2 linked regions of the Arabidopsis thaliana genome follow. The protein of the gene in region 2 interacts with the protein of the main gene of each other region in a pairwise test. Each region holds a gene or a part of one and is shown on either strand. Other genes may lie near its edges. The genes, in order: AT1G20910 and AT1G78930.

The links.
Region 1: the proteins of AT1G78930 (region 2) and AT1G20910 interact in a two-hybrid assay, tested with the Arabidopsis thaliana proteins (one large-scale study listed by BioGRID).

What each region holds. Positions count from the first base shown.
Region 1 is NC_003070.9:7,266,874-7,282,776, forward strand, and holds AT1G20910 (ARID/BRIGHT DNA-binding domain-containing protein), read right to left. Parts: upstream 14,364-15,903; 5' UTR 14,106-14,363; intron 13,778-14,105; 5' UTR 13,763-13,777; coding exon 13,475-13,762; intron 13,342-13,474; coding exon 13,208-13,341; intron 13,123-13,207; coding exon 13,083-13,122; intron 12,714-13,082; coding exon 12,661-12,713; intron 12,565-12,660; coding exon 12,519-12,564; intron 12,261-12,518; coding exon 12,168-12,260; intron 11,726-12,167; coding exon 11,603-11,725; intron 11,448-11,602; coding exon 11,399-11,447; intron 11,322-11,398; coding exon 11,258-11,321; intron 11,088-11,257; coding exon 11,021-11,087; intron 10,910-11,020; coding exon 10,859-10,909; intron 10,617-10,858; coding exon 10,524-10,616; coding exon of another isoform or gene 10,446-10,523; exon of another isoform or gene 10,432-10,445; coding exon 10,336-10,431; 3' UTR 10,070-10,335; downstream 1-10,069. Other genes in the region: AT1G20890 (caveolin-1 protein), read right to left, coding at 1-2, 99-187; ESC (Putative AT-hook DNA-binding family protein), read left to right, coding at 6,151-7,086.
Region 2 is NC_003070.9:29,672,915-29,687,403, forward strand, and holds AT1G78930 (Mitochondrial transcription termination factor family protein), read right to left. Parts: upstream 7,844-14,489; 5' UTR 7,735-7,843; coding exon 7,192-7,734; intron 7,101-7,191; coding exon 6,963-7,100; intron 6,870-6,962; coding exon 6,624-6,869; intron 6,527-6,623; coding exon 6,413-6,526; intron 6,286-6,412; coding exon 6,103-6,285; intron 6,011-6,102; coding exon 5,793-6,010; intron 5,705-5,792; coding exon 5,371-5,704; 3' UTR 4,990-5,370; downstream 1-4,989. Other genes in the region: VP2 (vacuolar H+-pyrophosphatase 2), read left to right, coding at 9-160, 249-396, 473-605, 927-1,099, 1,249-1,369, 1,862-2,049, 2,230-2,667, 2,748-2,912 and 4 more; AT1G78922 (uncharacterized protein), read right to left, coding at 4,035-4,504, 4,602-4,702, 4,804-4,901; AT1G78940 (kinase with adenine nucleotide alpha hydrolases-like domain-containing protein), read right to left, coding at 7,940-7,990, 8,184-8,924, 9,007-9,414, 9,489-9,590, 9,676-9,988, 10,078-10,120, 10,216-10,427, 10,514-10,635 and 2 more; BAS (Terpenoid cyclases family protein), read right to left, coding at 11,644-11,754, 11,881-11,964, 12,048-12,128, 12,206-12,383, 12,469-12,659, 12,754-12,810, 12,895-12,993, 13,077-13,199 and 6 more.

The sequences.
Region 1 (15,903 bases), about 22 Mb from region 2:
ACCTAAGAGAAACCTGATAACATCATTTCTACAGTACCAATAAAAGAATCCAAATTGATGAGTTTGGGGATAATGTGAGGTTTTTCAACAACACTTACAGTCTCTCATCGCTATAACAAGTCACAAAATTTATGAAGACGATAAGACAGATGAGCAAGTAGCATTCTTTATAGCGTAAATCGATCATCCTACGAGTTCTGTATCAATCCCTAAAGAAGAAAACGATTTTTGTCAATTTGATGAATCGGTTAAAGTATCAGCTTCATGTTAAGCAATCTCTGCAATATTTTCTCTCAGCAACGGAATACGAAAATACCAGAAGTTATAAAACGCGCGAAATCGAATTGACTTACCAGAGATCAGTCTCTCGCCGGAGATGACAGTTTCTATGCGACAATTGGATCGGCGAATACGATTCCGGCGACTTCGGAGAAAGACTCAAAATCGTTGTCGACGATCGCTAGCGTGAGACTTGGGCCTTTGATTAATAATGTACTGATATATTGATTGGGCTAATTTGAGGCCCAATTTAATATACTTGGCTTGTAGACAAAGTGAAAATATAAGCGGATCATGACCCGTCCACGTCACTCTTGCGAAAATCAGGACATAAACTGTACACGTGGTCAGATCTCCACGTCGAGATATCTACGTGGCGAGTTCTAAGGATATTTTGTCCTGTCTTTTTGTGGGGTCCATTTATGGGCCCAAAGGCCTTCGACACTAACTCAGAAAGTCCAAAATAGTAAGGTAAACATGTGGGCTCCTTTATAAACCAAATTGGCAATTTGCCCATGTTGCTTCCTTCCTACTAAATAGTTAAATTCTATTCAATATATCACCTTTATTTTTGGTTTTTAGATTATTATACGTCAATAAAATCACCTTTTAATGTTTACTATATACAAATTATAATATTTAATCCAACAATATTTTCTAACACCTTTTAGTTTGATAGGTTTTCTCCACAAATTGACTAGAAAAAAACAATAAATAGGCATTTAGTTTTGAAAAGACACTTGGTTTTGTTTTATTCTCCGGCTTTTTATTATTATAAAATAATTTAAAAATTGGTGGATGGGGTGGTGGTAGATCACAAGTCGCCAAAGATGTGAGAATGGGATTGGGCATTATCGAAAAAGTTGACCCGTAATTTCTGATTGATCACACTACTTTTGAGTTTGTTTATAAAAAAAAATATAGTGGAGAGTCTGGAGACCACTGATAATAAATTGATTTTTACTAGTTCCTGTAAAAACTTGTGACTTGTGAGCATCATTACGTAGGTAAAAAATATTATTATACACATATTATTTTTATAGTAACATAGGTATATTTGGGAAACCAAGGTCTCCAGGTTGATAGGAGCAATAAAATACTGGTTTCAATTCATACTATTAGAGTTGTCTATGTAGAATCAAATGTCAAGTCAAAGTCGTAAGAGTTATTTATAAATATATATACTATACCTTCATATATAGCTTAATAATATATAGAGAAATAGAAGAGATGGCCACAAAACGCTATGATTAAGGATATGACCATGTAATTATTGATCTGTAGAACAAATTTACAGTCCATTATATTGTTAGATAAATAGATTGATGAATACTTAGTTAGGTTCACGTATTTTATTTAGGTTTGAATCCAAATGATAACATAGTGATAATGTTATCACAAACCATTAATCATATCATGGTACTTAGATTCTCATATTTATTTTTCGAGTAATGTAGATTTATTATCATACGACATACAATACGCAATACTGTAGGTCAATGGAATCAAATCGTTTTTTTTAAGATATAAAAATAATTTATTTATTTTTTACCAAAACAAATGAGGCACAATTTTAAGATTTAATATAGAAAAAATAGAAAAGAATATCAGGGGCGTTTTCATCTATCCACTTTATCAGAAGATCATTGCCAAATATTTTAACTAAAGCAATTTAATTTACTCTAATAATGTGCAACTCATCGTTACGTATTTCTTCTTGTACAAAGCTAACATGCGGGGCATGTTAGATTCCGTGCGACAAACTAAAAAGTATGATTTGATTGATAATTTGATATAAAGAGCTCGATTAGACTTGTTGATTGTTTTCTTATCTAAGGATTTTATGCATCCATATATTCATTATCAACTATGAACTATCAATGAATAATATTTCCAAAGTATGATATTTAGTAAATTAAATTCTGAATTCCTGATAGAAGGGGGAAAGTCTTCACCCGATTGATGTTCGAGTTTTTGGAGAAAATATAATCAAACTTAGCTGAGTTAGAAACTCGTTATAATACATGTTCTTTACTTGGTTTAAAAAAAGCCACGAATTGATAAATCAATACTTTTTAACTAACGTACATAAAATTAATGAGAACTGAGAGTTCAAGACTAGCTAGATTTTTTTTTTCATTTTATATACAGCGAACTCATTGCTTACACTTTCAAAACTATAAAAACAAAATTTAAAGGTGCTGTAGAGAATAGAATCGCTATGTAAGTATAAACTTTAAGGATGGCATTAATATCTTATATACATCTGGCTCGTGGTATTTTGATTGATGAGAAAAGAAAGCAAAAAAAACAAAAGAACATAAATATAGAAGTTAAATTAGCATACTGATTGATGGGTACGGTATCCCTAAATCATCACAATTTTTTGCCCATATTATTTATTGTTAAAGAGGGTATGATATTTAGTCTCACGACCTTTACTTTTTGTTTGATGTTTTTTTTTCTAGATATAAAGAGCCAGCATTTTATTCACCAGTTGTTGGATTTCCCTAAAAGAGATACCCTTTCGTGATCGCATGAGAGCAGACTGGGGAGATACATATATGGAGTAGGGGCGTAGGCTGAAGAAGCAATAGCTAGCCACAATAAAAAGAAGAACAATAACAGCTACAAGATCATCAAGGGATCAATTATGAACCGAAACCAAATTGATATTCTTTAGTGCCTCCGAACCTCACATATCTACTGCATCCTTACGAGATATTTTGGTCGTTGGGAAAAAAAAAAAATATATATATGTTTTGATCAGTTTACGTGTTTGTCGGAACAATTTAGAACTGCTTTTATTCCATGTTTGGTAAATATATAAACTCTTATGGATACCAAGAACTTAACTTAGTTTTCTCTAATGAGTTCTCTAACATTGAATTCCACGCGACAGTAACTGGACGTCTGAATTCATTAATACATATATAATCTTTAATTAATGTGAGAGAAATGTGTTCATGATCTAGACGAGTAGCGACAGCGTCATAAGAACTTAGGTACAGTCACATATTTATAGACTTGGATGACGTGTAGTTCTCTCTCTTTATGGCTTAAAATTAAATTATATATCACATGAAACACCTCTCACTTTTCTGTTTTGGGGGCAAATAAAACATATCTCACTTATTTTCGAAGTATCTTGATAGTTCCACACATTCCGTTTTCGATCGATAGAAAAAAATTGGACCAGTTTATGATTAAAATACCGCACACAAAAGACTTCACGTACGTTTTTGCTTTTAAGCATTAGAAATACGGGCAAAAGACGCGAAAGTAAGTTAGATAGATTCGGGAGGAGTACTGTGATTGGATAAGGTATTGACCAAGTACCGATGATCCGACCGCCTCCACGTGGTCACACAGCTTGGCTTTCACTTTCATGCTCTGACCTTTTGACCGCACGTGACTTTTGTCTGTGCACGTGCGGACCAAGCTAACGTGTCCGGTTCAAGTACATTGCACCGAGCCCTGACTCGCCAGGTTACGCCGATGAAAACGACGGTTCCTGGGTCCCACATGCCATGAGGATGGACGGTTCCGATCCACTTCCTACTTTCCTACTGAGATTGGTCCCACCATGGTTCAGGCCACATGCGTCCACGTTGAGGGAGCTTAGGTGTTACTATATGGGTGCAGTTAAAAATTAAGACAACCAGTCACGGTCCGATATGAGGTCATGCATTAATGGGTCGGATCGAGTTTAGTCAGTTCAATAAATTAAGATGAATAAGTCAATAATTATTTGAATGGGTTGATGCAATTGGTAAGTGTTTTCAGGATTATCGTTTGTTTCCCAAACAATTTTTGTAAATTAAAAGTTTGATATCATTTGTATGAAGATGATATATCAAAAAAAAATTTTACTAATACATTACTCATTCTAAATCAATAAATTATCAGTGTCTAGTTGTCTTTTTCTGGTATATTTTTTTGTCCATGTTAGAAAAAGCGTAGTTCTAATTAGTGATTCACCAAATTCGACATAAGGCAACAAAGTGGAGTACTTATCAATAATTTTTGAAAATATAAAGTAGTAGTATCAACTAATTTGACATTTTGATAATTATCAGCTAGTCTTATCACATTAATGGATCATTAACTTTCTCCAAACTTATCATCAAAAAGGGTCCACTCCGTTTTACGATATTTAAAGGAGTATACATGGGTAGATCTCACTATCTCAGTATAGAACAAAGGACCATTACCTAGATTGATTGTTCTACGTTATGCGCCTTATGCCCTCTTGACAATAAAAGTGAATATAAAGTACTTTAGTAGAACATTGATTCTTTGATATATAATTAGCTCGGGTTTAGCAAGATAATTTAGTAGCAACCAAAAAAAAAAAAAAACACATCACAAGCAGAATTAATCAATTGTTGTTCTGCAGCGCTTAAAAGTGACTAATTCTCTTCTTCTTTTTCTATAGTAAAGATGGTTCGTATCCGTTTGTTTATTATAGAACGTGGGTTCTTCTTAGAATATTGTATTCGCAAGCCATATACTATATATCTATTTTAAATTATTATACATTATATTTTTACAAAATTAGTTGACAAAACTAATAATAATACTATACATGTAAATTTTTTTTCTTTTCTTCTTCTATATAACTCACGTTCTGCATCCAGTTTGAATATGAATAATAACATATATCAGCAGCACTATGCAAATCACAAGCCTACAAATATCTAGTAATAATGCAAGTTTATACTAAGTTTTACAATAAAAAGATGCGTAAGTAAATTAAAATTCTAAATAAAATGACCTATAGTAGTATTTTCTCAAGTAAGAGAAGACTAAATAGTACTATTTCTCATTTTTACTTATACGAAAACCTTTTAATTAAGTTACTAAAACCATAAATAAGTTAGTAACATGATAATAACATTTATCAAATAACTTTTGTTTAAACATAACCTCCACGCGCCTTAAAGGGAATGTAGGATTCGTTTTAATCCTTGTGTACCCAACTTCCACTTGACATTTTTTTTTTTTTTTTTTTTTTGTTAAATGATACGTTTTCTTTAGCTCGTATATAATAGTATCTGATAAACAAATTGACCAAATGTTATCTCTTCTGTTAATCTTATCTCATGCTTTCAAATATAAGAATTCCTTCTCTAAATTTCTTTTGTATTATCCGATTGGAGCCAAACAAAAACTGCGACGAACCCCTAGTTTTCTTTGGTAGATCTTATGTAAGGATAACCACTTACACACATAAATTTTTTTGTCGGCATTTGTGTATATGTAATAAATAGTATTAATTTACTTAAAAAAGAACATATTATTCAAATAATAATTATTATATTAATGATATAATAAAGGGGACTGTTTCTCCGCTAAATTCTCGGTGTATGTCTTTGCTTTTACTTTCCTCGTTCAATGAGAGGACCAAAAATTTATTGCAGAGTCGCACATGAATCTCAAGCTTCTCTCTCCTTTTTTTCCCATAGCACATCAGAATCGCTAAATACGACTCCTATGCAAAGAAGAAGCTACTTCTTTCTCTTGCCCTAATTAATCTACCTAACTAGGGTTTCCTCTTACCTTTCATGAGAGAGATCATTTAACATAAGTCACCTTTTTTATATCTTTTGCTTCGTCTTTAATTTAGTTCTGTTCTTGGTCTGTTTCTATATTTTGTCGGCTTGCGTAACCGATCACACCTTAATGCTTTAGCTATTGTTTCCTCAAAATCATGAGTTTTGACTTCTCGATCTGAGTTTTCTTTTTCTCTCTTTACGCTCTTCTTCACCTAGCTACCAATATATGAACGAGCAGGATCAAGAATCGAGAAATTGATTTGAGCTGGCGAATAAGCAGTGGTGGGATAGGGAATTAGTAGATGCGGCGGCGATGGAAGGCGGTTACGAGCAAGGCGGTGGAGCTTCTAGATACTTCCATAACCTCTTTAGACCGGAGATTCACCACCAACAGCTTCAACCGCAGGGCGGGATCAATCTTATCGACCAGCATCATCATCAGCACCAGCAACATCAACAACAACAACAACCGTCGGATGATTCAAGAGAATCTGACCATTCAAACAAAGATCATCATCAACAGGGTCGACCCGATTCAGACCCGAATACATCAAGCTCAGCACCGGGAAAACGTCCACGTGGACGTCCACCAGGATCTAAGAACAAAGCCAAGCCACCGATCATAGTAACTCGTGATAGCCCCAACGCGCTTAGATCTCACGTTCTTGAAGTATCTCCTGGAGCTGACATAGTTGAGAGTGTTTCCACGTACGCTAGGAGGAGAGGGAGAGGCGTCTCCGTTTTAGGAGGAAACGGCACCGTATCTAACGTCACTCTCCGTCAGCCAGTCACTCCTGGAAATGGCGGTGGTGTGTCCGGAGGAGGAGGAGTTGTGACTTTACATGGAAGGTTTGAGATTCTTTCGCTAACGGGGACTGTTTTGCCACCTCCTGCACCGCCTGGTGCCGGTGGTTTGTCTATATTTTTAGCCGGAGGGCAAGGTCAGGTGGTCGGAGGAAGCGTTGTGGCTCCCCTTATTGCATCAGCTCCGGTTATACTAATGGCGGCTTCGTTCTCAAATGCGGTTTTCGAGAGACTACCGATTGAGGAGGAGGAAGAAGAAGGTGGTGGTGGCGGAGGAGGAGGAGGAGGAGGGCCACCGCAGATGCAACAAGCTCCATCAGCATCTCCGCCGTCTGGAGTGACCGGTCAGGGACAGTTAGGAGGTAATGTGGGTGGTTATGGGTTTTCTGGTGATCCTCATTTGCTTGGATGGGGAGCTGGAACACCTTCAAGACCACCTTTTTAATTGAATTTTAATGTCCGGAAATTTATGTGTTTTTATCATCTTGTGGAGTCGTCTTTCCTTTGGGATATTTGGTGTTTAATGTTTAGTTGATATGCATATTTTGGTTTCTCGTGTTTATTTCTTTTCTTCTCATATCTTCGGTAGATGTTACATGTTAGAGAAATGCATGTGTCTCGTTATGTTAGAAAATTCCTTTCCATATATGGCTTTCTTTTATTCATAGCTAGGGTTTCGTGTTGTACCCTATAACTATTATTATAATTAGCTCGATTTGATAGATATATAGGTCTAGACTATTCAATAATGAGTTCGTTTGTTCTTTTAAGAATTTTGAGCTTCACGGCGTATTCTTGATGAAATATTATGTGGGCACATCTCAGGCGCTCATTTGAATATTTTTACAATACGTCAATACGTTACCTTAATCATAGTATAATATAGTTCTTTCAACTTTTTAACAACCTCAATGTAGTATTCATTATAAGGTTAGAAAATTATTATACATATTGATCAATATATACGTTTTGTGCATCTAAATTCATTATTCGTACCATTTGAGTACTTGTAGCGTCTTTTAGCCGAGTATACCTTTTAAGATCACAACTTCTGTGTCATATCTATCTATCTATACGGTGTTATTGTGTTAAGAGTACTGTCATATATACCCATCTATATATAAGGTGTTAAGAATATGCTTACATATTGATCAAAACGTGCATCGTTCTAAATTTTGTAGTTAACCACTTGCCTGATTAGAACGTCTTTTTAGCCGTTTGTACTTACAGTTGAAAATTCCATTGATTGGTGTAATTGGCTATTTAATTACGACAGGGCCGTCTAAGCGATCTCGAGTCTTACCATCTAGGAAAACAACATGGGCAATTTTTAAACTATTTAGCGTTCATACAGTTTCTAGTGTTTTAAAAATACTACATGTATACCTAGTGGCCATGTTATGACCTTTTTCATTCGATCACTACAGTTACTTAATTACATGCATAAAATATGCATTAATGCTTCAGTTAATTAACCGTCGATCCTGTAAAATAGTTGTATCCAACATTATTCAAAGACAGGTTGGCAACAAGTACGTAGCTTTAAGCTAATATTTATAGGTCACATATGCACAGTACCATTTATGTTATAATCGTAGTTTTTGGTTTGAGATTTCCAACCCCTTAATTTTGGCTGGTATGGAGAATTTGTCTCAACTCTCAACCAACACTTCAAATACATATTCTGCTCTTTCTCAATCTATATATATTTCTGTCCCAACAATTTAAATATATATATGGAATATGGTTTTATACCGGTTTATATATTACTATTTTCGTGTTTCTTCGTCACTACAAAATATGAGTTTTTATATATATATATATATATATTGATAAAAAGAACGAGTAAATGATATTGGGGATACTTGTCTAACTAGAGAGATAAAGAGTGAAATTCTATATTCTGCTAAAACTAATCATATTCGTTAAATAGAATGGAATCATTATCTAACATCCCACTGAAAAGTAAACAAATTCATTCATAGAAGAATATGCTTCTGCTATTATGCAAAATATATAACGAGGGGATTACTTTTATTTATTTCATATCTCATACTACATCTTTATTATTTTCCATTTATTCATCTAATCTTTAACCATTTTTAGAGCATAGTATTGTTTTTTGGGATTTTAGTCAATGTATATTGGTTAAAGACAACCGTTACAGAGCACAGTAGAAACATGAAGTAGAGATTATCTCACGTACGTCGGTTACATACAAATTAGTGAACTTAACATGGTAAGATTAACAATGAACATAAATCATTTGTAGTGTCAGTTAAGAGCTAGTCTCTGTCACAACATAACAAAAAATGGGGTTTTGATTACCAAGATATGTGAAAAAGAGGAATGTTCCAATTCCCTAGGGACATATTTATTGACTAGGAACAAAAGGAAGCTTAAGCAAGTAGTAATATTTTTTTATTTTTCATGAGAAAGTTTTAAAGTTATTTAAATGATACCAACATACTAAAACGAATTATAGTTAACTACTTTCAGGTAGCTTTGTTACGCCTATTCAGCTATAGGTGCAATATGGGCATATGGCAATACATAGTTGGGGTTGTAAAGCTACTAAAATTTTGATGAATATGTTATAACTTAGATGTATGATTATTATTGATTGAATTAGTTCTAACTATTTTAGGATGATTTGTTTTTTTTTTACAACTGATATCATGGAACAAATTGCAGATTAATTTCACAAGTCACAATCTACAGTTCTTAGCTAAATATTATAGTGATCAGATGTCTCTTAGTAAAAAACGTTTTAGCTTTGCCAAAATATATAAAATATAAATTAGAATCAATACATATACTTGGAATCATATGACTTTTTTTTGGGGGCTTGGAGAAAGAGCATTGTAGTTGTAAATATTATCAAATTCCCATGCGGTCATGTCATGTGCCTTACATGCAATTGAGCTACACCAAGTTGAGAATCAGCAATAAAAAACCTTTTTTGATCACTGTGAAGTGTGAACCTTTTTGCATGATTAAAGAGAAAGAAAACAAGTTGAGAATAATGTTTCTTGTCTTAATACTGCAGTATTTTCTGATGACTCAAAAACTAGAGTGAGCTTCAAAACTTTTGAACCTTAAATTTTCGTCATGAATTGATGATACATATATATATATATATATAAACAAGTAATGAACCTTTTTTTCTTTTCTAAATCATATATTCCCGATCATGAACTTTTTAGATTCAGGGAAATGTCAATAAGTTTTTTGCTGTTTTCGTTTTCCCTTTAATAATATGCACCACCAATATATGCATACTTTCACTTTCACTTTTTGAAAACAAATCATCTCAGGAGAACTTTTGAAAACCGAAACGCATGAGAACCTAAAAGTATACTATTGGAAGTAGAACTAGTAGATGGGATAGGCAAATCTATTCATCTCTATTAAAAAAATATGTATAAGAAAAGCATAACATTCCGATTTTAGATCAAAATCATCATTGTTGGTTGCATCCTAAATGTCTTTGGAGCAGTTTCTCCTACTAATCTCAAATTATACAAAAGAGAAATATTACAGTAAGATCAAATGTTTGTTGCATGTTCCTAACTTCAGTCTTCAGATTCAAATCACAGTTACAAAACTGCTTCAGCCGCCTAACAATTTGGTTCTGAAACATATGAATTCCTAGAAGAAACCACGAACAACTGACCAGCTCTCTTGAAATCCATTACTGCTCAAACGGAACTCGTATGAACAACCGTCCATGCATGCTCATGACCGCGGATGTGTGAAGCGGATCAATTCTTGCTGATAAGTCAACAATCTGGTGAAAACATATCAAAATGACAGGAAGGTTCTCAGTCTCTGTATCAGTTCAGTTAATGGACATATCTGGAATATAGAAGAAAGTTTTACCTTTTTGAAGGGTGTAATCCCCCAAGGATTGTCAAGCTGCTCTGGCTGGCCTGTTATAACCACCTTTCCCGCAGGATCTGATTGAATTCGAACCTGAGAAAAGACAACGTATGTTCAGTAATTGGAACTATGTACTGATTTTACCAGAAAATACTTATTGCCTACAACACTGTGTACTGAGACTATGAAACTAAAGCCAACGGATCTGCTTTGGTAACCTACCAAATCGCTTTGTGCTTGCTTTGTATTGTCACAGTAATATGCATTCAAACAAAATTAAAAGACAAGGACTTATCAAGTAGCCTTCAGAGACAGGGTTACAAAGGAGTGCTCACCTCTTTGCGAAGAAGTCCAGGTACCAAGGCAAATATCTCGAAGGAATCCTTCTGTGAATTCAAGAAAAAGGAAAACAGATTTGGTAAGAATTCCATATTGGAAACAAACATCCAGTTTGCAAGTTTTTGGCGTTTCTTTAGCCGTTGGCAGAAGTTACTCACAGATTCTTTGACATTTATCTTCACCCAGTCAGCAACGGGTCCAACATCAACAACCTCAGCAGCCAACCTATCATGACAAAAAGGAAACCTTAACGTTAATCTATAGTAATATGTTCAGGTCCAGAAAATGCTACGTTTTCATCTCATTACTGCTAAGAGGCATTGAAAGAAGAACCAAAAAACTAATATAACTATCTTAGAATTGCAAATAAGAAGGAGAGATCAGCTTTCCGTAACTGTTTGTCAGCTTCATTTGTAACAACATGGTCCATGCTAGTTTGTTGTTTGTGTTTTTGCAGCCCTGAAAAAACCGTTTAAAACATAACGTTAAGCAACCCTCGTTGACAAAATAGCAAAGCCTTGAGAACTATTTTGTACCAATGCTTTTGAGTTTCTTGTGCTTTGGGGTGGAAATTAAGCCCTTATCCTGAAACAAAAGGAGAACATCATTTTACTTCCGAAATAAAAAACGACAAAAGAAATAAAAAGTCTTCTTCTTTCTACATGTGAGTCAGATTCCTTGGTGCATGAAAAAATTCTGCATAATGGAATCACAAAGTGCAGTAAGATTTGAAGTGAAACCTTAACAGCAGGCGCAGTAACCTCTCCAGATCCAACAAGGCGCTGCGCATGCCAACCTTGCATAGCACGAGCTGCAGAATCTCTTCGTGCCCTGCCTGACCCTGAACCTTGATGGCTACTTGGCTACAGCAAAGTCCTTGTATCAGGGAAGAAAAAAATATGGAGAAGGGAAAAAAAGGGAGGCACATGAATTTTCGTTTAGGTTTTCTGCAACTTATATGGTAATTTACTGGGTTATGCACACGGATTTCTTATGGCTTTTGTATCGAACACAAAATGGCTACAGCTTTCTTCAGTCAGATTGCAGATAGTTGGGTTTAAAAGGTTTAGCTGGTATTACATAAATGCTGAAAAATAACTCTTATGCTATCATTTCTTCAGTATCAACGACATTTAATCACAGTACATGAAACCTTCCCACAATAAATTGACAAGTAGATACTCTTCATTAATTTTACGGTGCTAGATCGATCTTCATCCAAACTTTCCATATCTACCATTATTTCTATATATTATTCAGTAGTGTCTAAAATCCAAAAGCCATTTTTTTAGGGGAAATTCATACCTCTTTCTCGACACTGGAAGACAGAATCAATGTTGAACCAGGAAGGTTAAGCTCACCATTATTCCTTAAACACTTTTCGTACTCCAAAAGTGCCTGCAATTGAAGCAAAGATATAGATCATATGTACCTGTATCTATATGATAAGATAGAAAGAAAACAAGCAGTGCATTCAAACTTCGAAGTGACAAAAGAATAGTCCAAAATAAAGAGCTACCTCAGCAAGACAAAGAATTAAACTAACTATTATAACACACCATACTAAGAAGAAGCACAAGGAGAATTGTCTGAAGTGGATAAGTAAAAATGAAGACAGGATAAATATACGATACTTATGCACAAAAACAAACTCACCTTCTCATAGAAATTGCGGAATGTGTAGGAGACTGTTGTGCATGTCCTGAATAAAGATAGTTTAACCAAATGTGGAAAAAGATTAGCATTATGAAAAATTGGTAAAGACTAACGGAGAGTCTAAGGAAAATATCAGCCATACTTGGGAGGATTGAAGGATTCTCCAACTTGCCGCCACAGCTTATTTGTGGTGACCTACATTACCATGAAAAAACAAAGGAATCTTAAAGACCATAAGTCCAGCAGAAGATTAAGAAAACATTGAATATATAATTCCAAATATAGCTAACAACAGTAAAATAAATCAGTTTCCCAAGAAAATATCGAACATTCTTTAATGTTTGATATGTTCGCTTAAAGTCATAAATCTTCTCTGAAAGCCACATCGTTATAGATACTCTTATCATAAATTAGCTTACGGATTCAATAGTTATACCCTATATACAGTTCATATGCCATCCACAATTCAAACAATAAAATGTAGGTGATAATCATACGGGCCAACTTAAATAACCAAGACTTATAAACTGACGAACTAAAAACGATATGGTTTTGGATAATTACCACTTCATAGCCACCTAGGTTCACGACTGCTCGCCAAAGCCTACATTGGATGCAAAAGTGAGGCACTGATTAACCAGATATATGGGTTTATTAAGAACAAAAGCACCACTTTTCCAACAACTCACTTGAGAATGTTTAAAGGCTGTCCATAAAACTTAGGAGGTTTAAATTCCAGGAAACTCTCTTTGTAAAAGGCCTCCACTTCTCTTAGAAACGCCACTTGTTCTACCGGTGTCCCTGCTTCATCAGTTCCCTGTGCCTGTAGAGAAAGGTGAACCAGTAAGTGAACAATCACCACATAATTTTCGACCACAAAACAGTGAAATCCAATCCTGAGAAAACAAAAAGACACAGGCTTTTTGAGCCAAATTGAAAGAAACATAGCCTAGTACCTCAGAATCCAGCAGCCAAGTCTTCCTCTTTTTGGCATTCTCACCTTCAGTCTTAGGACTCAACATTTGCACCCTACGAGTCTTCCTTTCAGAGTGGTCAACAACTCCAACAGCACCACCATTCATGCCATGACCATTATTAGCCTGACCATCTCCAAGAAGAAGGGGCTGCGGGATTTCACTAGGGTTGTGATCATTTTCTGGCTCCAAAGGTTCTTCCTCTAAATACTTTGTCTCAACAAGGGCACCAAAAGTCACATCTTGCTCTTGCATTTCGGTATCCACCATCTTAAGCTTCGATTTCTGTTGTGGAGTAGTCAGTCACAGCAAGACAAGGACAAAAGAACAAATCCAGAAGAAAAAAACGAAGAAGATAAAAAAACTGTATATAACTAACTATTGGTGATTCCAGATTAAACAAAAAGGAATTGTCTTTCTTCTCCGCCTGGAAACTATAGCTTCTCTCTCTCTCTCTCTTCTATCTCTAAACGCAATTAAGAATTGGAGCAAACTCACTCACTCTATTACTACAAAACCTCATCCTAATCAAAACTACCACAGATAAACAAGCCGAGAAGACCTTTCAGCTTCCATAGAATACAGAGAGCAGCAAAAAAAAACATATGCTTACCAGTTCTGCAGCGACGGCGACGGCGAGTAAAGGTTGGTATGAGAACGCAGGGACTCCGACGGCGCGCTAGGGTTTAGCAGCCGGAGAAATTGAAAGAAGCTGGAGGAAGAAGAAGAAGAAGGAGATACAGAGAGAGAGCTGAAAAAGGAGAGACAATTCGAAAGAGGAGAGACAATCTTATGTTAATGGAGGAAGGTATTAGTAAAAAAGATGGGATGGGGGATGTTATGTGGTTTTTAACTTTAATTTGTTTTACACTCAAAAAGTAAACAATTTCTTTTCTTCTTTTTGTATCTATTAGTCTTTTTAGACTTTCTTAATTTTTGGTAAATATAGGATTTGTAACCTTTTATTGTTGTTGAATGTTGGGATTTCTACTATATGTAATAACCACGAAAGATAAACATTGAAAAAGTTTTTTTTTTTTTTTTGCCAAAGGGTGTTATTATATATATGAAACATTGTACAAAACATATATACATAGAAGAAAGGAGCTATATGAAATTTAGGTTTACGAAATTACGACAACGATTACGGAGGAAACAAAGAAGATCGAAATTAGTATAAATACGATACAAAAAATATTAAAAAACTTAGGTTTATAGAAAAGTTTATGAATTAATTTTATATTTTTAACAAGAAGTTCAAGATGATAATTAAAATATATGATGTTGAGACTTGGAAATAAAATTTAGGTTTCATGATTTGGAGTTAAGATGTGAAAACTATATCATAATGGAAATATCTATATATACATGTTTGGAGGGGATTTTTGAAGATAATGTTGAAGATTTGAGCCATAATTCAACAATTAATTCAAATGGGTGGGTTTTACTCGGCTTAACTCTGTTCAGATCCTGGATAACATGTTTAATTCAGTTCTGATCTTGGATAACATTAGTTTTTGGAAAAGTTACCTAAAAACTAATAATTAAAAACGAAAATTAATGATTTAATTACCAAATTTAATATAAACAATATCTCTAAACTAACCATATTTCTTATTTACCTTAACTAATTTCCTAAAATATTTCTACCTAATTTAAACATAAATATATAATTCTTCTTTCAATTTTATTTGATCTTATACTTTATTTATTTTGAATTTATATAAAATATATATAGTTAATAAAATATTATATTTTTTTCTGAATATGATGTAATTCAAATTTTTTAAAACGGACATATATTATTCAACCTATGAAGAAATAATATGTGTACAATGTCCAACATCGCTTAGAAAAATTGGACAATGGTTCAGACCCATATTATAAAAGGACCAAAATGATTCTGATTATGAATGAGCATGAAGCTTGATTTATCAGGCGTCCAAAATTAAAATAGTTATCCGATTTTACTCGGATTTTTTATTTTAAAGAATTAAAACTTTAAAATGTTTCAAAAAATTATAAATATTATAACTTTATCAAATGTTAAATATTATAATTTTAAAAACTTTTTATAAAGTTTATCTTTAAAAAATGCTTTAAATATTTATAATTTTAAAACTTATAAAGTTTTAAAAATTATAAATTGAATTTTACAAGAAATTTAAACATTACAAATATAGAAAAAATATATTAATACGAGATGATATATTACAGGAAAAATCTTAAAAATTGGGTCGATATTGTATTTTTTTAAGTTTCAAATTTTATAATATTGAAATTTATAAGAAAATGACAAAATTATGTTTAATTTCACGGGACTGGATTATATGGTAGGACGGGTTTGGGTGGATAATAATTACGATTTTAGAATGTTCTATATCGCTTAAAAAAATTGGACAATGGTCAAG
Region 2 (14,489 bases):
ACTTATAGATATCAGATGCTATACGTGATGGAGCTGAAGGTTTTTTCAGAACGCAGTATAGCACTATATCCAAGATGGCCATTTTGCTAGCTTTTGTGATTCTTTGCATATATCTATTCCGTAGCTTAACTCCCCAGCAAGAGGCTGCTGGTTTAGGAAGGTGCTGATACATGATTACATTCACAAGATTTATTTTATCTTTTGAATTGTTGTGAATGAAGCTTAGCCATATTACTATTTTGCTGCAGGGCGATGTCTGCTTATATTACTGTTGCTGCATTTCTTTTGGGGGCTCTATGCTCAGGTATTGCTGGATATGTTGGAATGTGGGTGTCAGTTCGTGCTAATGTGCGGGTCTCCAGTGCTGCCAGACGATCTGCGAGAGAAGCATTGCAGGTTCTTCTTTAGTTTAGCTATTTTGGTAACATGTCATGTACACGTTTCCAAATACTAAGTGGCAGATATAATGCAGATAGCCGTTCGTGCTGGTGGGTTTTCAGCCCTGGTTGTTGTTGGTATGGCTGTGATTGGTATCGCCATCCTCTATTCTACATTTTATGTGTGGTTGGGCGTGGGTTCACCAGGCTCAATGAATGTTACTGACCGTAAGTCTTCTGCTCTTTTTTTTTTATGAAAAATATTCATTTTCGTCTTGTGTGTATATTCTATAATCATTGTACTGAGTTTCAAAAAGTTATTGTTATCTTTTCAAAGGATCATTTTCAGACATGAGCAGTATTTTCTTAAATATGTCATGACTTGTATTAATCTTGATTGAGGTGGGGTACCAATACAGTTCTAAGATTTTCAGTGAACCCTATATGTAATTCTCTTGATTTATTGACCAGAATTTGCATTTGCATGGGCGATAGTGGAGCTATTAAACTTGTAAGATTTATTGATTGAATTTTCTGTTTCTCTTACAGTACCTCTTCTTCTTGTCGGATATGGTTTTGGTGCTTCGTTTGTTGCCTTATTTGCTCAGTTGGGTGGTGGAATATATACTAAGGGAGCTGATGTTGGGGCAGATCTCGTTGGGAAAGTTGAGCAGGGAATTCCCGAGGATGATCCTCGAAATCCTGCTGTTATTGCTGATTTGGTATTTGATCTTTGTTCTTTTTGTTTCTTACTTTCTTGATTCTGTGATTCCCAAACGTGACATCCTTGTTTGGGGCATATATCACTCTACAAGGGTTTGCTTGTGTTTTCGTCATTTAGGCATTTAAAGCCATTTTCATCTTCTTGTAGGTTGGAGACAATGTGGGGGACTGTGCTGCTAGAGGTGCTGATTTATTTGAAAGTATAGCTGCAGAAATCATCAGTGCAATGATACTAGGTGGAACAATGGCTAAGAAGTGCAAAATTGAAGGTGCACCATCTCTCTTTAAAGTTACTTCTGGTATATGCAAATATATAACTTATGGTGTGAGTTCCTGACTCATACCGAGAAAATTAAATGAACTGCTAGGATTTTATAATCTGAAATGCAAACTTAGGAAGAGTTGCATAGAGAGTTCAAGCTCGTAAATTACATTCTGTATACAGAATAATCTACGCTTTATTGCATGTTTTGGTCACTCCTTGAGGATTTGAGGGTACATTATTACTTGTTAGGATTTAAAAAGTCGACATAAGTTGTATAGAGTTATTGTTTGAAGCACCTTGTACGAACCTGCTATGCATTGTGTGAAAATTGAAGGAAGACTACTTTTCATGACAGCAAGCTACACTTGGCTGCAGTCAAAAAATTTCAATAACATTACCCATTTCTAGCAGTGGTTGTTAGATATGCGCTGATAAACATCCTATTAAACCTCTTGTTCATGCTTGATACTTACTCAAATCTTTCTCTATTATGCAGATCCATCAGGCTTTATCCTTTTTCCTCTAGTTGTTCATTCTTTTGACTTGATTATATCCTCAATTGGTATTCTATCAATCAAGGGAACACGTGATGCTAGTGTGAAATCTCCGGTAGAGGATCCAATGGCTGTACTTCAGAAAGGATATTCTCTGACAATTATATTAGCTGTTATAACATTTGGCGCGGTAATGTTGTCACACATAACCATTGATTGTCTTGTTCCTTTCATTCTTTTTACAATTAATTCTGCTTTTTATGGGCTTTTTGGTTCAGACTTTTCATTAGCCTACACTAGCCTTGTTATTACTGAAATTTCGAACAAATTCTTTGCTATATTCTTCTGACAGCATTATTTATGTTTGTAGTCGACTCGCTGGCTGCTTTACACTGAACAAGCTCCATCTGCATGGTTCAATTTCGCCCTATGTGGGTTGGTTGGCATCATCACAGCCTATATCTTTGTCTGGATATCCAAATATTATACAGACTATAAGCACGAGCCTGTTCGGACGTTGGCTCTTGCTAGCTCGACTGGTCATGGGACTAATATCATTGCTGGAGTAAGCTTGGGCCTGGAATCAACTGCTCTTCCAGTTTTGACTATAAGTGTAGCTATTATTTCTGCGTATTGGTTGGGCAATACCTCGGGTCTAGTGGACGAAAATGGTATTCCCACTGGAGGTCTATTTGGAACAGCCGTTGCTACAATGGGAATGCTAAGCACTGCAGCTTATGTCCTTACTATGGACATGTTTGGCCCCATAGCTGACAACGCTGGTGGGATTGTCGAGATGAGCCAGCAGGTAAGATGTCACATGATTGGCTTGAAAGGCTCTTATGTTCCATCTTTATTCTATGTAGAAATAATAAATGTTTCGTGCAGCCAGAGAGTGTCCGTGAGATCACTGATCTTCTTGATGCTGTTGGGAACACCACAAAAGCAACAACGAAAGGGTTTGCCATTGGATCTGCTGCACTTGCATCATTCCTTCTCTTTAGTGCGTATATGGACGAGGTTTCAGCGTTTGCTAATGTGTCTTTCAAAGAGGTAGATTTCGTTATGCATCGTTGCTGTATTCTCGATGTTGAGACAACTTCTCATACTCATCCTCGGATAAAATCAGGTTGATATTGCTATCCCAGAAGTGTTCGTTGGTGGATTATTGGGTGCCATGCTTATTTTCCTCTTTAGTGCTTGGGCATGCGCGGCAGTTGGTCGAACTGCACAAGAGGTTGTCAACGAAGTAAGAAGGCAATTTATTGAGAGGCCTGGCATAATGGTGAGCATATTTTTCCTTTTGAGTGCTTCACCTTTTCTTGTGTATTGGCTTGTACCGTTGTTGACTAGCAAATATCTTGTTGCAGGAGTACAAGGAGAAGCCAGATTATAGTCGCTGTGTCGCCATAGTCGCATCTGCAGCTTTAAGAGAAATGATAAAGCCAGGAGCTTTAGCTATTGCATCACCCATTGTAGTTGGTAAGTCAGTAATATCTACTCGTTTTTCTTTACTTACTGTATTGAAAGTTTGAAACCACAACATTGTGACCAAAAACAAACCTCTTGTTCTCTCTTTCAGGTTTGGTGTTTCGAATCTTGGGTTACTACACAGGACAACCTCTGCTCGGAGCAAAAGTTGTAGCTTCTATGCTCATGTTTGCAACAGTTTGTGGTATCTTAATGGCACTTTTCCTAAACACGGCGGGAGGTGCTTGGGACAATGCAAAGAAATACATAGAGACCGGGGCACTTGGGGGCAAAGGAAGTGAAGCTCACAAAGCAGCTGTGACTGGTGATACGTAAGTATTTTCGTTCTACTTCAACACTCATTCAAAGTTATATTCCTGAATACGATTTCTCATTAGAATTCATCTGAAAATTGTAGCGTGGGAGATCCGTTCAAGGACACAGCCGGTCCATCCATTCACGTCCTCATAAAAATGCTTGCGACTATAACTCTCGTCATGGCTCCGGTTTTCCTCTGAAAGTGAACCGTTACTTATCCATCCCGGCTTATTTACTCTCTTGCACATATACAAATAGAGAGGGAGAGAGGTTGGTTATAAAATGATTTACATGGATTAATGGTTTTTGTGTTTCATTTCATCTGAATAAATGAGATAATTCTGTTTTTGAGTTTAGAGACACTCTTTAAGGAATTCTAGAGACATTTTAATCAACCACATCTTTGACTTTGAGAGTCTTTATTTTCCTCGATTTAATCTTTCTAGTACTTCTTCTTACTCTTCTTGATTTGCCTCCAACTCGTACAGACAATTGTCTACTCGGTAGTCTTATGAGACGGCGGTTGTTGCGATTGCTGCCATGATGGTGGTGGCTGTGTTTGCTTCCTAGTCTTCTTCTTCTCTGCTTTGGTCTAATGTTATCTATTCGACTGGGACTGTCCGATGAACTTGATTCATCATCACTCGGATAATCATAGGTCGTAGCTTCTATATCATCGAGACGTTTTCTGCGACGGTTGACCCGATTTATGTTAGTCAAACTGTGACACAAGCAACTAATCATCTCTCCAATGTCGAACCAGTACGCTGCACAAGCGGCACATGACATTTTGCAGATACTTTTCACAACACATTGGCAAATTCCAAGCTTGAACAGGAGGGTGATGAACATCAAAACTGGGAAAAAGAAACAAATACAAAATTATAGAAAACAAAGGAAAGTTCACAGAATCAATAGTGAATGCTAAAAATCGGAAATAAGAGAAAGGTTTACTTATGAAACAGAGGCTTGACATCAGCACAAGCTTTGCAATATCAGGAAGACAGAAATGTTCTATGAAACACTCAAGATCCCATGGTCCCGAGCATACATCTCTGTAATTTTTAAACAGAAGAGAAATCCTCAAAACATGCGATAGAAAAACAAACCAAAGCGATTTCACGACAGAATTCAGACAATGACGTGAAAATCTTACAAACAGGATCTTCCAAGTGTGGCTTTTAACGGTGCTGTGAAAATATTCCCGATAAAACCTCCGATGTCGTTTGATGCTTTGCCTATAGCGTTTCCCATTTTTGCTTAGAACGGTAATCAGTGACTCGCTCCAATCATTTTCTCAACAATCATGTTTATCAAACGTAAAGAGATAAATAAATTTTCTGTGAATTTTCAGAATATGAATGAAGTTACATCCTCGCGTACAGTTTCAGAAACGAAAGAAAAAAAATTGCGAGAAACCGTTTCCAGAGAGAAAATTCGGCATATTTTTCATAATTTTCAATAAACCGTTTGTTTTTTTTGGTCCAAAAACATGGTAGGAATATTTTGAAAACCCTCGAAAACAATTCATACACTTATACACACACATCAGCCGATTTTTTTTTGGTAAGAAGTTAGGAATTTGTATACAAACACTGGAAGTACATACACTAGCGGTTATATGAACAATGCAAACAGACAAAACTGAAGAAGCTTCAGAGATATCACCAATCTCATTACATAGTGTGATTTTCTCTAAGAAACTTTTTCACCTACAATATAACTACGAGATTTCACTGTGAGTTTGAAGCTCTCCTAAACCCAAGAAATCAGCAGCAAACTCTTCATCGTTTTTGCCTAACATTTCCTGTAATGTACATTCTATGTTCCTCCCTTTGAGTACCCTAAACCGCGGTTTTATCCTTTTCTCTAGCGAGTAACTGAAGTACCTTGGGTATTCTATTACCTCTCTTACCGGCTTCTCCATGCTGTTCACCAGAAATTCAAACTTCGGTCTCAACACTTTGTCGATGCTATATCCTAAGATCGGTGAGAATTTGCGAATCATGAAGGCAATCTCTCTCTCTGATATCCCAATCTCCATTAAGTACTTTAGCCTGTAAGAGCATATGTTTACAAAATTAGGGGTCATTTTCTAGAGATAGATTCACTAAGATGATGTGCTATTTGGGTCAAGATAGATACCGTGGAAGTACTGTTTTGTCTGCGTCGTATATGAGAAATTCAGGGTATTTCTTTATGATTCGGGGAAAATGTGTAGTGGAAACACCAAAACGAGTGAGAAAGATGAGCTTTTTCTGCAGGGTTTTCTCAATGCTGCAGCCAAATATTTCAGGACATCGACACAGTATTTGACCTACAATTTCTTTTTGAAACCCCAAATCTTCCAAAAAGCAAACAACCTGTTACAAGATGAAGAATAGCGTGGTTAAAGAAATAGTCTTGCACAATAATAGAATGAGAGAATACATATCTTGGAAAGTGGTTTCTTTACCTTAAGAAATTCTTGGGGTTTACATAACAAAAGCTGAGGCATCTTGGGTATAACCTTCCCCATTCTTTTATCTCTAACACCTAATTTATCAAATTCCTTCACCATCATCTCCATATTGCTGGCTGAGCAACCGAGAAGCAAAGGCCATCTCCTAATGGCGTGGTCAATATCCATTTTGAGCACCTAAGAAAGTAAACCAGGTGTTGGTAGACCAATCATAGAACAAAAATGATAAATACAACTTAGCAAACACAAAACCACCAATTTTCTGATCAACGTGATGTATTCTGTCTTGTCAAATTGTGCTTACCGATTCACTGTAAAAAAATGAGCCGATGTGAGAATAGTTCTCTTGTATGCTTGGTGAGAGAATCCACGGATACTTCAGCAACAATTTTCCAGAATCCTTGTTCACTACACTTACCTGAACTTATACAACCCCAATTTGCAATAATCAGCAATCACGAGAAAACAAAGAAAGTGCAGCTCCATGCTAATTATGAACAACCAACCAACCATACCTTCTCCATAGCTGTGGCTACCCTTCGTTTGATCTCCTCAGTTTTTCCGAGCATGATGGGAGGGTACAAAAGAAGTACCTTTCCCAAGCAATATTTCGGAATACCAATGCTTTCAAGAAACTCGACCATAGGCTTCATATCATTTTCTTCTGAAAGTAGAAGAAGCCGAGGGAATGACTCGAGTAAAAATCTAAATGATGCATCTACAGAGCCCAGCATATCCAAGCCTCCACGCCTTGCTTCAATCTAAAGTACATTTTAACATTCTCCTTACTAAAGAATATAGAGAATGAAAAACAAAATCAGATACTATAATATAACTGAGGAAACACAAAAAACCTTTTCGAAAAAGGAAAGAGTTTGCTGCACATCTTCATCGATAGGAATGGATAAGTAGAGCATCATTCGTCTTGCATACTTTCCAACCAGACCTTTCTCATCACTGCCAGAAAAGAATATTTCCTTGAGGTACTTAACCTATAATCCAAATCCAAGATTAAGTACCAAATCCAAACCCAACCTAACTCTCTTTTGATGATGCAGAGAAATTGAACAATCTGTGAATTACCTTATCGAGAAGTATCGGAAGCGATTCAGAGGAGACGTAATGAGCCAAATACATAGCAGAAGACAAACTCAAACCAAGACTCTCCAAAAAGGCAACTTTGCCACCATCACCCTTTTGTTTCACCATATAAATCACTTTCTCCTTAAACCCTAAACCCTCCTCAACTCTCTCAGATTCTCCACTCCCTTTCCACGAATTCCATTCCTCCAAATCCCTAACACCCTCTACGATCATTCGCGTGTATTTAGGACAATTTGAAGAAATGAAATCTGAATCGGCCTCTGAGAGTCCAGTGTCTCGTCGGAGAAACCCAGCAATTGAATTCTGCGCTTCCTGATTTGTCTGCGAAGAATTAGAGCTAAAATTCGAATCTCCGTGCTGTAACGAGGCGGAAACAGTGACGCGGCCACTATGGTAAGCTGGAAACAAGGTTACGCGACGAGGAGAGAAGAAGAGAGAGCTGGAACTAAAGTTACAGGATTTTAAAGGAGGAGAAATCAAGGTTAGGGTTTCGAAATTGCAGGACGTATGTAAAAGCTCCATAAACAAACACGATGGAGAAGAAGACAAAGGTCGCTACTTTGCTTCTGCCCACATCAAGAGGAAGAAGAAGAAGCTGTTGCAGGGTTTATCTGTAGCTATGGGTTTAACCATTTTGATTTTCAAAACCAAATTAATTAATAAAACCAAAATCCCGGTTGGGTCAAACCGGTCTGAGCCATTGGGCCTATTTATATGGGCTCTTACATTATCGATTCTTTAATAAATACAGTATTGATTGTTCAAAACCGTTATGGGCCTAACAAAAAGGCGGTTACATAACTGATTATTTAACAGAATACCAAATTCCTCTAATGCTATACACTAATCAGCAAAGAAACTTGCTCTGCTTTTGTTTATAACTCCTGCAAATTGAGTGTTAGAGCACATTTGCTTCCCTCATATCAAAACTAGGATTGAGATTCTGCAGCTGGAGATTCCGGAATCGAGACTTGGCTAGTGTTTGGAGACTTTCCTTGATTTCCTGCATAAAACACACTCTCTAAACTCTCTTCACCTATCTCTCTTAACCGATTGAGCTCAGGCAATATCTCTTTCCCGAGGTCAGGTCTATCTTTTCTTCTTAGTTCCGCGCATTGAAGCGAAAGCTTTGCTAAAGATAGAGCTTCTTCTATAGGCCAGTCCGGTACTGCTGGATCAAGCATATCCTTAAGAGTCCCTTCTTCGATCGCTTGTTCAACGTAATAAGCCAAACCCATTGGCTGTTTTGCGGTTAAGATCTGCAAAAGCATGATTCCAAGAGAATAAACATCTGACTTCACACCCAACATTCCTGTTTGTTGGTACTCAGGATCAATGTAACAGAAAGTTCCTGCAGCTGAAGTGACTCTGTACTGTGTAACGTTTTCCGCTACTGCAGGGACTAATCTCGCTAGCCCGACATCACTGATCTTGCTCACATAGTTGTAATCGAGCAGAACATTTCCTGGTTTAAGGTCTCTGTGGACAATTGGTTCAGGTTTGGTCTGGTGGAGGAAGAGGAGTCCCGTGGCGATCTCAGCAGCGATTCTGAAACGTAGCTGCCAGGTAATCGGCGGTGTGTTTCCTCGCATGAAAAGCCGGTCTTCTAAACTTCCTTTGGCCATGTATTCATAAACAAGAATCCCAAATTCTGGACAAGCTCCAAGAAGAAGCACCATGTTTGGATGCCTTATGCAGCTTAACACTTCAACCTGAGAAAACATAAACATATGTTACTCAAAGATGAAAACTTTCTTGTATAAAATCAGAAACGAAGAAAGATTTTTTTTTTACCTCTTTCTGAAACTGTGATCTCCCTTGAGCTGCGTCTGGGCGTAGAACTTTAACAGCAACACTTGTGTGATCAAGAAAGCCTCTAAAGACAGGACCATAGCCTCCTTCTCCTACCTTTTGAGACTCTGCAAAATTTGAAGTAGCTTCTTCGATTTCGTCAACCGTGTATTTCCTATACCGAACAAATCCGCGAGAGAATGAATCTGATTCCTTCATTGTCTTCATCTCTGCAGTCAACCTTCTTTTAGATTCCACTTCTGCTAATCTCTTTGCAGCTTCAGCAGCTTCCAACGCTGCTTTGGCTTTAGCTCTCTCCTTTTCCACTATTGACATTGCTGCTTCCTCTGAACTTTTTGCTTCTTCCAACCGTCTCTCCTCTTCGGTTCTCAGCTTTTGCAGCTCCGTTGCCTAAAAGTTCAAAAATCGATATTTGATTCAAATGTACTAATCTCATTGACTTAGATGTTAGTATTAAGTACTACCTGTTGTCTAGCGCTTAAAGCTTCTTTACAAGCTGTGCTATACATATCCATGGTTTGTTTCAGCTCTAGACGCAGCCTCTTCATTTCAGCTTCAACATCATCCTGCAACAAGACAATCCCATCTTAGCAAGTATTCAATCTTTATAAGAAGAAAAAGAGAAGGAGCTTGAGTAATAATAGTACTAACCAAGCTCTGAGATGAATAGGAGGATGTTCTACCACTCTCTTCAGAGAATGTAGAGGATTCGTTAAGGAAATCAGGATCACTGAACTTAATTCCCAAACGATTTGAGCCAATGCTTTGCTCTGAGCTCGTTGACATTCTTGAAGTCCTTGCAGATTCAGGAAAATCAAGGCTAAAGGAAGACCGCTCAACGCTTGGTCTTCCTGAGCTGATGAAGGAAATGTCAGAGTCACGATGAGAAGACGGACTGATAAACGAAAGGTCACTATCTGAATCATAGAAGTCCCCATATGGCTTCCTTTTCACCAACGGCGATCTACAAGAAAACATAAATGTTGAATCTTTTAAGACTTTATGTAAGACATTAACCTTAAAGACATCACAACAAGCTTCCAATTCCTATACCTATCTGCTTCAACTGATTTGCGCGGTCTAGATGGTGTACTACCTGTTTGCAAAATCAATGGAAACACACAAAATTGGATCAGCTTTTGGAAAAGCAAAGAACTTATTTTATTCTTTTCAAAGAGGAATGAACTAAACCTGCAGAATTGGGATGGTCATGGTACTTTGGTGCTTTGTCAGGAGTATGTGGGTGATGATTGTCAATTTCACATTGCTGCATCGAATTTTGGTAAGGAGCAGGACGTGATGCATTTCGTACTGAAGCAATTTTGCCTTTTGAAATGACATAAACATTGCAGAAATCTGGAGCTGATTTTGACACTGTTGTTGGCAAATCCGTCTTGAATCTTCTGCTCAGAGTCATCAAAAACAGAATCCTTTGAACAAAAATCCAAACTTTTTGTTACAGAATCTGAAAGAAGGTAACTTTAATTACCTCATGAAGCCATTACGTGATGCAGATCCAACGACTAAGTTCTCAATTGCAGAAGATGAAACATATTCGGTAATGGCTCGAACTTTGTCTGCGTCTTCCAGCAAAATGTCTCGACAATTTATCTGCTCAAACAGAATCGATTAGGGTTGTTCAAAGTAAGGACCTTTAAGGGTTTTTGATTCAGAGAATACCTCTTTACGGGAACAATAGCAGTGGAAGGATACAAAGAGATCTTTAGCTATCTTCTCCATTTGCTGTTTCTGTTGTGGCGTTCCTTCTTCAAGATCTGCAACAACGAAACCAAAAAAAGAACTTAAACTTTATCGAGAAGAAACTCTAAAAGCTGGAAATTCCCATGAATGTGAGAAGAAGATTGGGACCTGAAGAAGAATGAGATCTGCAGAGGACATGAATAAGAGAAATGGTTTGGCCACGAGAAGCAAGATTGTCGATTGTCCATTTAAGAGCATGTTGGCTTCCTTTGTCTTTGTCTATTGCAACTGCTACTGAACCACTTCCTGTTTCTTTCTTTGCCCCATTTGCTTTTGGTAGCCACATTCTCTTCTTCTCTATATATATATTATTATTATTGAACAAAAGGAAGAAAAGTATCTCTTCCCTCTCTTGAGTCTTTATGATGCAAAAGAGAAAACTTCACTTTGATTTGACAAAAAAAAAATAGAGTTTGATTGATCAAAGATTCTTTATGGAGGAAGCAAATGAAGTAGAGATGCAAGATTAATGGGTTGGAGAATTTCCTCTTTTTCTAATGGTTGTTGTTTAAGGGTTTTATTTTTGGCTGATAATCTAATTTCAGATTCTATAACACAAAAAAAAGATAAAGAAACAATAACACATTTGTGTGGTTTTGACTCTTTTGTTCAACATGTTGAAAAATTGGAAGAAACATAAAAAAAAAAGTGTAACAAATGGCCTAGTCTAAATTTAGACGATCACGCATCTCTGTATCTTCACCATGTGAAACATGCCTTCCAATGGACGGTACACAAAAAGAAAACATTGACTAAAAACATTGACATATCGCATACACGAATTCTTGTAATAGACTGATGATAGGTTAATAAATTCACATGTTCTCTGATATAAAGAAAAGTTTATGAAAAGTGTCGTCATGGCAACGAAACTCGCGCGCGATATTCTGCGAGTGCCCACAACGGATGAATGTTTCTATATGCAGCGTAGTGTAATGTGCAATTCTTCAAAAACACTCCGGTTGCTTGCTGAAAAAGTAATTAAACAAACTACAATTAGCTTTTAGCTTTGTTTTTTCCACTTCTATCAGTAAAGCTATTACAGAATTTGGAAGTTTTAAGATGATAGTAGCCATTTTGGTGTAGGAAACGTACCTGTTGAGGAAAATCTCCACTCTCCAGTTGTGAATTGATGATAAGTTTCGCAGCACGGTGAAGAGGAATCGGATCTCTCTCTGCCTGTTGTGTAAAGCACTGGTCATATATAGTACTGATTCATTAATTAATTGTATTTTCGTCGATCAATATTGAATGATTAAAACCTGTCCAGAGTGAATGAGACCCATTAAAGCCCAAGCAGTTTGCACCACGTTTGATATCTCCCCTACTTGTGCTATGTATATCTGCATAGATCAAGAGGATTGTAGTGACTGAATGATCCTACATCAAGTTGATTTCATCAAAATGTGCAAGTGTGTACCTTTTTGGAGCAAGAGAGGTAGCTTTCTCCCCAGCCTCCGTTGTCTTTCTGAGCTGCAAGAAGAAACTGAACGCCTTTGCGTATTGCCTCACAGTCGTTAAAAGTCTTACCCGCAGCTGCTAAGCCTGCAAGAGCAAACCATGTACCGTACGTGAAGCAAATGCCCCAGTTCCCATACCTGTAGATTCAAAGAACAATGGTTCATTTCTTGTTAGTTTGGATTTCCGTGAACAATTTCAGATAAATCGTAATCGCTAGTGTACCATGAACCATCACGTGTTTGCATGTTTTCTAGGTATTCCGCAGCTTTCTTGATGAAAGCGGTGATCTCTGTTGTCCTGTGATCAGGGTAGAGTTGCTTGAAAAGACTCAATGCTTGGATTGCAGACGATGTACATTCACTGTACTCATGCTCAATCACAATGTCGGAAAACATTTCTGTGGGATTGAGCAACTGAGACAAATACATGAAGAAGGTTACATGACCGCAAATGTTTTAAAAAGTATCTTTTGGTTGTTTGAAAATAATTATGGGGTTTGGTTCTTACTTCCAACCACTTGGGAGCACCAGCAGGCTCCCAGGCAGTCATACCTCCGTTTTTGCTCTGCAAACAAGTGAAACTGTCACGACCTGAAAATGGGTGTTTCTTTGATGATGTTGGTTCTATTCTATGTCTGATAATGCTCACCTGTAAAGAGAGCAAGATATTAACAGAATCATGTAGTCTCTCGGGGTCTTGTTTTGGGCCAACAATATCCGGCGCCAACATCGAGAACAGCAGGCAGCACTATGAGACCAGAAAACAGCAAGGATGTAGTACTCATGCCACTGAAGAACATGTCAATGTGTTTAGTTTTAACGGCTGGTTACCTTTAAGCCATGAGCTGTGCAGTCTGAAACTTGCCATCCGTGATCTCGGTCAGAAAAAGTCCATGCTCCTTTTGAAATATGACGGTACATGCTTTTGTAATCACCTGAAGGGTTCTCTCCAACCTTCAATTGTTTATCAATTTTAAGCTAATGTTCCATTTTTCAAAAGAAATAGTTCCTTGTGCTACAGTATATGCTGCAGAGATATCGAACCTGTGAATTCTTTATGAACTCATGTCCTCTCCTGAGTACATCAGAGATTTCACTGGAGAGATTGCTTGCAAGTAAAGCTTGCATCGCAAACCCTGTATCCCATAGTTGACTTCCAAAGCTCTGCATAATCAAAAAAAATTCGATTTCTTACCAACTCAAGGTTAGTAAACGTAACAAATTGGATTTCCAATCTCCATGGACATACCTGCATTTTCATCCCATCTTCAGCCATCCACAAGTAATCGGAGATTCTAGAGAGGTGCTTCTTGAAATAATCCCCATTCGGGTCTTCAACCCAACAAGCTAGCATGCATAGTACCTGCAGAAAGAGACTGAAGTTAACTCCAGATGCTCAATACTTTGTGTCTTAAGGTAAGGTGTTTTTACCTTTTCAACACACCCAATGGTGATATAACGACTATTTTCATCTTCATAGTGTATGTGTTTCATTGCCAATTGAAGAGCCTTTTCCCTAAGAAGCTTGTTAAATGGCCAACGTGCAAGGAAAGGCTCCGCAAAGATGTAAAGACTGTCCCATACCAACTCTTGAACCAGTGGACGGGGATAATATGTATCTTCCTAAGGTAAAGTAGAGGAATGTATCCGTGTTCTTTTCCATGAAAGAAAATCATAAAGAGAAATGTCGATACATCCTAACATTCTTACCTTTGCACAAAGATGGCGGACTTTCATCCAATTGATTTCTTCATAAGGCTGTAAGTACAGTTCTTTGCGTAGTTGCAAAATCAGAGACGTTATTGGGCCAACAAACCGCTTCCCGTAGAGATACGACATTGGCAAGTAAACCATCCGGCAGTAGCTCCACATTTTTGCTGTAAGATTTCGTTAATTAATACATCTCATTGATAGCATACTTGTGTAGAGAAACTCTTAATCATTGTAGTACGCCAAATAAGGTTTTTGGTCAAATATCAACAAGAGGAATCCAGTTTCCCAATCTCATAAGTTCTGATGTCAAGAAACAAACCTGGATGCACGGGAAAGAAAGAAGGTAGGATCCAAAACTCAGGAGGCATTGGGTTGCTTCCAGACCAGTCAAATACACCAAGTATCTGCAGACAACAAGACGCACGCTTATGATACAACTTTTCTAGTCATTCTCAGGTTATAATACCAGATGATCTGAATACATACCGAAAGCCAAGTTTTACCCCAAGAAGGTATGTAGGTGACACCACC